2 linked regions of the Xenopus tropicalis genome follow. The protein of the gene in region 2 interacts with the protein of the main gene of each other region in a pairwise test. Links are inferred from orthologs where the notes say so. Each region holds a gene or a part of one and is shown on either strand. Other genes may lie near its edges. The genes, in order: pex10 and pex12.

Region 1 (3,824 bases), on a different chromosome or scaffold from region 2:
GCGAGAGAGGGTCTTTTGTTTTAATGACTTCTCCTTTAAAGTAGATTCCATTAAGTTTAGTATGTGCTGTCTTTCTAAAATGCTCATGCTGCAACAATGTTAAAAAATATTTTCCCACTTGTACACAGAGAATAAAATAAGTCTTTTCTTTACCTTTTTTAACCAATCATTATACAGGGATATCTATGTCCACAACATGCCATACACATTTCAGTACTTGGCTTCACTACACAAGCAATTAGATTTCAGGTAGTCCTTTATGGCACACTTTAGGAAGACCGTGTTAGTTACAGTTGTGACTGGCATTAACTTGGTTTAGAATTGTTGTACAGCAACAGAAATGGTTTCTACTAAACAAGAAAAGCAAAGTGCTGTGCTGGAAGACTCCTCTTACTGAAAAAAACCTTAAGGCCCAAGTAGATTTCTGAATATCATCGGTAGTGACGTAAATAGACGAGTTTCTGCGGGCTAAATTTTTCTCGGCAGAGAGGGCATTCCGTCTAAGAAAAAAAACAGTTGCATTTTGATTGTCAGGACATGTTCAATTAAAGGGTGTTGCATGCAATGCAAATGACCTGTTGGATGTCCAAAGAATTTAGCAGTAAGTACACCTACAGACTACCAAGTACCCCCCGCTCATTCAAAATACCATAGTGGGTGAGGGCAGTGCTTATTAGGTACCTTCTAGATGTACGAACTCTTTTGTTGTACATCTACCGTGCTGAAAAGCATGCAAATTCACTGTTAAATTCACTGTTAAACTTTATTAAGATATAATTTTATGCCTTCAAATACGTATACAAACCAATGCGTATTCATGCTTACAGTAGCTGCCAAAAATGCAATACTGTTTACTGTGCATTTTTCTACTGTAACCCTAATTTATTTAGTGTGCAGACCCTGGGGCTCATTTTTAAACACTGCAACTACCTGCAGCTGATAAACATCTAGTCACTGATTGACTGGTATGGGTTTTTGCCCAGGTGTTAAACTGCCTGCTGATGATAAATGATCCCCCTAGACTCTTAAGGTGGTCTGTCTTTTACTAGCATCTCTAGTATAGTACTTGCACCCTAGTCTCACCTTGGTGTTACACCATTCCGTGATGCACTCCCAGCAGAAAAGATGGCCACAGGGTGTGGCTGTGCAGTGTCTGCGCACTTCTAAGCACAATGTGCACTTTGCACGGCGCTTATATGATTTCTCGTGTGGTGGTGCTCTATGGATATAAAGAAAGGTGGGAAAAAATTGAGACTTTAATGGCAAAGTTCAGCATTATATTAACCAAGTGATCATCACTACTTTGTGTGGCTTTGCATTTATTAGCTTTAGAAACAGATCAATTAATATTCATGTGATCATGGAAAAACAAAGGAAGGAAGTATTCATAATAATATCAACTAAACGCAACTGTGTTTTTTTTTTCCCAAAATCATAATTTTATAATAAATCTGCCACTTAGTATGCTACCCCTTTTTGGACTACAACTGACACTGTCTGGTTGGGTGAACCCACTGACACTATCAACCAATTCCACCATATGGCAGGTGGTTATTACAAAGTCCTGTTTAGGCCTCTGTTGCTTCCTAACTTGTGTGTTTGCATAAAGCGCAAGCTAGGAGTTGACTACGAGCATCCCTTCGGCCACCGCTTGTGCATGCAGCGCTGTCAAACGTAGGCATAGCTTTATTCAAGGAGGTAGCCGCAAGTCTCTGAGCAGCAATTCAATGAAGGCAATGTGCAAAGTGCATTGAATAAATGGAAAACCAAATTTCAAGCAAAGTCCCTCCATGTTGGTGATGTAATTACAACAAACCAATCTACCTGTGAGGTTACTGAGCAGGGCCTGGCAAGATCTAGGTCAAGAACATTCAGGCCAAGATGAAAAAAGATTAATATATACATGAGAATTATGATTTCCATATGGTTTATTAATGTACTTACCTCTGGTATGACATACGGCGAAGCAGTTTCCATTTCTGCTGGGCCTCCTGCCTCTGTTGAAAACTGTTAATCTGAACCCAAAGCAGCAGCATGAGATGAAGCAATGAGATTGCACCAAGAAAAGTGTAACTTCTGTCCACAAGCTGATCATCTCCAACTGACCTCCGTACACGAAGCTGTGGAAAGATTTAATAAAAGACTTTAGGATAAAATGAAAAGATTGGTGCAAACTGCTCTGTAAAAAGTTACTACATAACCCACATTGAATTGCTTTGTGATGTTTGGAGGCAGGCTGAGGACAGTTGATTACTGTTACTTTTTTAGAGTCTCAAAGTAGTCAGCCAAATCAGCACGAGAACATGGGGCCAGGCTTTTCTAACTGTTCCAAACCATATTATTATATTAAAAATCATGAAAAGGCTACATATTTTAAATCGATGTTTATTTCAAAGCTGCTTGACATTATGTTTACTTTTCAAAAAGCTTAAGTTGTGGGTGGAGTTCCTCTTTAAGGCTGATGCCACACGCGGCGTAGGGCTGATTTTTTCGGCAAGCGGAAAACCGCTTGCCGAAAAATCAGCCCTACGCCTGCTACTTGTGCCTGCACCCGAATGAATGGGATACGCTGGGGTGCAGGCACATGTAGCCGATATACGCATGAAAACGCGAGAGAATGCAAAGTCTCGCGTTTTCATGCGTATATCGGCTACATGTGCCTGCACCCGAGTGTATCCCATTCATTCGGGTGCAGGCACAAGTAGGAGGCGTAGGGATGAATTTTCGGCAAGCGTTTATCCGCTTGCCGAAAATTTCAGCCCTACGCCTCGTGTGGCATTAGCCTAATGTTTTCGATGGGTGTTAAAGCTGCTACTTGACTTCAATGAGCCCTAACACCCCACTGATAATTCATATGTTCGTATATTCGTATAAACAGACATTTATTTATGATGTCCCCCTTTTTTTTTGAGGCTGAAGCAGCAAGAAAAGCTAGCTCTACTGCCTAAAAAGTGCTTTGCGCAGGCAGGTAGCTCCATGCTCCCATAGAAAATAAAGGAGCAGCCACACAATTCCTTGCTCGCCATAGGACAGCACGCTGCACTTATGGTCTTGGAGATTGTGACATAACAAACTGTATAAGTTGGATGAAACTATTAGATATTTCTGTTTATGCTGAAATGTACCCCCTGCCCCCCTCCTACCTGTTATAGCAAATGCATTGTGTAGGTTAATCTCATCTAGGTGTGTATTGTGTGTAGCCAGCCAGCTCTGTCTGGCCCTCCCCATGTAATTGCCCCTATTGTGAGGGCACACAGAGCCAGACCCCATAGTGACACAATACACATAGTTACCCCTTGTGAGAGAAGTGCTCTGTCTAGTAAATGCAAAAGACTGAACTGGGCATGCTCACTAGGTGGCTTCCCATAGGCACAGTGGGATTAGCTATGATTGGCCCCTCTGGAAGCTGCCTTTGGGTTGGCAGAAGGAGTCAAATCCTGTTTTGGTTTTACGACAGGGGCTGTTCCCTTTCTGGCTCCAAAGGTGGCTGCCAAGAGTTCCAAGGAGCCTTTTGTCTGGGGTGTAACCTTAGCTACGGCAGGACCCCCTCCCCTGTGTTCCCCTGGAATCTACCTTAGCTGCGGCAAGAAGATTCCCCCCAACTGTGTGTATTTCCCTATTCCCTAAGGAACAAGAGTGCAGGCTGGCTACCACCTACTGGCTTATGGAAACCTGCTGATGGCTACTTGCCATTTCTCCAATAAACGCCTCATCCTGTGATACCAACTGTTTGCTCTTTGGGTCCTGCCCTATGTCTGGGAACTCACGGCCCTGAGGTTGTGACATAATTTCTTTTGGGGTGCCCCTTACTCCATTCCCAGAAC
Region 2 (4,594 bases):
ATATTGGGTATTTTGTCACCTGGTCACAAGCAGCAAATCATGTGGGTCACAAAACACCCAGTGTGTTTTTTTTTTTTTCTTAAAGTAGAAGTGAGTCGTTAGAAATGCTCTTATAAAAAGAAGATTACTGCCAAGAGTGAATCAGCTGTCTAAGAACATATAGGTACCTATATTGCAGGGATACTATTACCACCAATTTTTTTTACCCACATCCGAATAGAAATATGTGAATTAGTGTAGCTTTCTTCTTGTTACTCGTGTTTGCACTTCCTTCTTTATCTAAGAAAATTCTAGATAAACAATTATAGCACCTTTCTCAAAAAACAGAGAGCAAGGTCCATTGTTTCTCAAAGGCTGCAGAGGCAGCTGAAACGTTAGATGTGGATTGAATAAACACCTTTTATTTCACCTAAGACCTGTGAGTGTGGGACATCTTCACTTGCTATTATTCCTAAATTCATTGGGACTGCACCCAGGCATCGCTACTCTTTCAGTGACGTGATTGCCTGTCTACAAGCCAAATATATATATATATATACACAAATATAGTTTGAGTGTGTAGATGAAAAGCGTTAGGTATGAATGAGGGTATTAGGTAAAAAAAAATGTGTAATGGTTAAATAAACAATTCAGAAACTTTAGAATGAGTTGAGAAAAAGCTGAATTAAAAGATGGGGAGAAATATCCACTAAAGCATTAATGCTGTTTTTTATACCTAAACATTCTTGTTCTTTTGTATTCTGTCAAATGTGACTCCCCAAATAAGGGACTTGACATTTACTATATTCAAGTAGGGATCTTATCTGGAGAGTTGTATTATACTTTTACTCTCTCCTGTATATTGTCACATGACTGTGTACTTTAGTTAATATTTGTAATTATGCATGTATCTGTATTTTTAAGCCATTTGTAAGGTCTGAGGCAAGTTAAGTGTTATTCCCTATTGACTTCCAGACTATGCAATTAGAAGCTCAGTGTACTGGCACCCCTTTAGACTGCAAATTAATTGATTGTGTTCTCTGTTGAACGGAAGCTTTGTTTCAGTGAACCATTTTATACAAAGAAGCAAAGCACATTTAAATGCCACTGCTAGCCTAATGCTAATTTTATCCTTTTTAACATGAACCCCATGTTGTACAATATAGTGATTCACTGCATGCTGCTAGGCATCTGGATTTAAAGTTGACTATATCCCTGCTGATGCCTAGATTTAATGGTACGGTGTTAAATGAGGTGTTAAATATGTAAATATTTTATTTGCTCTGTTAATATTTAATTATCTACTCAGATGTGGTTTTACACATATAAACCTCTACATTTCTTACCATAAGGATATTAATACTGGGTGGTAACTTTATTATATGGTTGTCACTAGGGATGCACTGAATCCAATATTTTGGTATTTAGCCAAACCCCGAGTCGTTCGTGAAACATTTGGCTGAATACCAAACTGAATCTGAATTCGGATTTGCAAATGAAAATTAGGCTATGAAAGATTCCTGTTAAATCTTGGCAGAATACCAAACTGAATCCTGGATATGGTGCATCCCTAGTTTTCATTTAATTATTTTATTATGCATTTTACATTATTGCTAACTACATTGAAGTCCTCACTTTTTCTAGCAGTAATATAAAAGATATTTTTTGCACAGTTAATTACAATATAAATTGTGCAAAAAAGATCTTACAATCTATTTGAGGTGTTCCTGACTCTTTTCTTCTTTAGTTTACACTACTAGCAGGCTCACAAAAGGGTTGTGTGGGACAGCCATTTACAGGCAGCTAAAATGGCATTGAATAGCCAGATAAAAAAATCCACTATTGCAGGTTTACATAATAAACATTTTTTTAAACAATATAAAGAAAAAAATAAAGCCGGAAAATTGACAATATAAACAATCACAACTATACAGCAACGAAGCTGCAGGAAAAACACAAAGCTGTAAAATCAGACAAAACAAATATGAAATACTTAATTTACTTAAATGTGTAGTTAAAAAGCAATGTAACAATAGAGATTAGTGTTTCCAGTCTGCACTCACCTTCACAATATGGTGCAAAGCAGGCCTCACAGCTGCCATCAAACTCTCCTGAGCCACCACCTCAAAAATACTGGGCCGGTCATCAGACAGCGAAGTGGTGGTAATATGGGCCCCCCGCTCTGCCATTATGGAGGTTTAGTTCCGCTGCCAATATGAAAACTATTGCTGACTGCACCTTTAACCTTTTCCAGAATGTACCTGTTTAATCCAAGAAGACCACAATGTACAGTTACAATGCATTTGGGAAAAGAGGGAATTAGCATTCTTTACACCAGTGATCCCCAACCAGTGGCTCGGGGGCAACATGTTGCTCACCAACCCAGTGCTCCCAAACCAGGTAGTTATTTTTGAATTGCTGACTTGGGGGCAAGTTTTGGTTGAATAAAAACAAGATTTACTACCAAATAAAGCCCCCTGTAAGCTGATAGTGTGCACAGAGGCTACCTAATAGCCAATCTTAGCCCTTATTTGGCACCTCCATTAACTTTTATGTGTTGCTCCCCAAGCTTTTTTACATTTGACTGTGGCTCACGCGTAAGAAAGGTTGGGGATCCCTGCTTTACACAATAGACCAAGTGGAGCTGCATAACGTATGTCAAGCTTTGTGCTTACAAATACAATGTATGTACTTTGACATATATAAACTTAATGCACACTTCGGCAGGTATATAGCAAATATCGAGCAAACCAAAACAACCGAGCGGAGGAGTTCTAGGTTATCTATACCTGTCCCCCACGGCAGGCGATAAAGCAGTAACCGGGCCAAAGCTTGGAGGCCCCTACCATATATCTCTGTGCTCTACAAGAACCTGCATTACTGAGGTGAAAGATCGTATGTGCACACGTGTGCCCGTGCATGCGTTCCAGAGCCCTGCAGCGCACCCTTCTCTTATTGAGCAAACACTGGGAATTGTGCCCCGACCAAAACAATTACCATCTTGTGTGTATGAGAGATTCTGCTCAGTCCGGAGTACTTAATGTTCGAAACCGTCCCGTGGATCAGCCTCTAATAAATCCAATCCCCGCAACGCCAATCACAACATCGCATTCTCAACCTCGCAATTTCACAACCTGGAACGCAAAGTGACAGCAGGGATCACATCTTATTCCGGTTGTTGAGACGCCTTTCGCATTTCCGGTGTATGGAACGCAGATGGTAGTAGCTGTGTGTGAGAGCTGTGCTAGATTTCCGGGGCAGCGACCCGCACAGCGCCTTCTCCTCTCCCTGGGTTTCTCTTCATTCGGACATTTATCTCTCTCGTTCCTAAGCAAGTCTGTATTTTTCTGTACGTTATCGGTAAGTCGAAGCAATAAATCGGTGCTTGCCTTATCTAATAGAATAGCGGTAGAGATAGGGATGGGCAGGGCGCAGGGAGCCGCCTGGCTGCTGTAGGGTGCCTGCTTCGTGAGAATTCTTGTGTTGGGAGGTATGGTTATCGCAGGCATTTACTGCACACATAGAAGGTTGTTAATTCCAGGAGATCCATGAACACGTTTTGATTTCTATAAGCCACGATTTAATTAGCCTAAGTGATCACACGAAGATGATAATGACAATTCCTTGTCATAAAGCAAAATGACGCCTGATTTAATGTGTAAATAAAACAATAAAAGGCCATGTTTTTATCAAAGTCCTTTATTTCTCCATGGCCTTGACAGATCACACAAAATCACTTAAGTCAGACAGTTAAAAAATGCAAGGTTTATGTCAAGTTGCTTGGAATTGTAACTTTAGAATGACCACCTACGTTGCTGTCCGCTTCCCCTTAATGTCACCTACACTCAAGTGAGCATTGTTTGCTTCAGGATTCCCAAATAAAATGTCTTAGTTGTCATTAAGGAGGTGCCAAGTCCACTCTGGCAGAGCCAGATCACACCAAGCCTTCAATAACTTTGGTGGTGGCTTAGTTGATTTGCCTCCTGTGCCAAGCCTGTGCTCCACATGCCCCCCCCCCCCCCCCCCCAGCACTTATTTATGTTGTAATATAGTAGCTTGCCATGACTGGCTCCAATTACATCTTATTGTGTCATGTCACTCTTCTAAAAAATATATTAAATATATAACTGCCAATGTTATTGCCATTGCTCTGCAGGAATGTGAATTAGTATTGGAACATTGCTTTCATTCAAATTCGTTGCTTTTTGTACTGGTCTGAGATAATTGCTGGCTGTATGTGTTGCTGCTCCATAGGAAAATTACACTTGCTATCTGAATTCTCCCAAAGTCATTGGAGAATCCTTTGAAAGACACATTGAAATGAATTATATACTTGCAAGTACAAAACATTCAATATACTCTCTTATTTAACGTAACTTTAATCTTTTAAAGATATATATATATATTTTGTTAAATTTAAATTTTTTATTGATTTTTATAGCATAACAAACCATGACAGCACATACAGGTTAAAGTCATTTCTGACAGTAAAAGAGGATCAGGTTATACAGTATCTGTGTGGATATCAGTCTTAACCAGGTAGCAGTACATGAAAAACTTAAGCTCTTGTTTCAGTATTCAAGAGTTCCCTTTGTAAAGGGCCGTTCCTCGGCCC

The links.
Region 1: the proteins of pex12 (region 2) and pex10 interact in a two-hybrid assay, tested with the Homo sapiens proteins (4 studies listed by BioGRID, with this or other methods). The link is inferred for Xenopus tropicalis from reciprocal best matches to the Homo sapiens genes PEX12 and PEX10.

What each region holds. Positions count from the first base shown.
Region 1 is NC_030683.2:90,521,823-90,525,646, reverse strand, and holds part of pex10 (peroxisome biogenesis factor 10), read right to left. Parts: intron 2,121-3,824; coding exon 1,945-2,120; intron 1,220-1,944; coding exon 1,084-1,219; intron 501-1,083; coding exon 432-500; 3' UTR 1-431.
Region 2 is NC_030678.2:93,513,111-93,517,704, forward strand, and holds the start of pex12 (peroxisome assembly protein 12), read right to left. Parts: upstream 3,118-4,594; 5' UTR 2,977-3,117; intron 2,964-2,976; exon of another isoform or gene 2,769-2,963; intron 2,241-2,768; 5' UTR 2,169-2,240; coding exon 2,043-2,168; intron 1-2,042. UniProt on the Homo sapiens protein: Component of a retrotranslocation channel required for peroxisome organization by mediating export of the PEX5 receptor from peroxisomes to the cytosol, thereby promoting PEX5 recycling.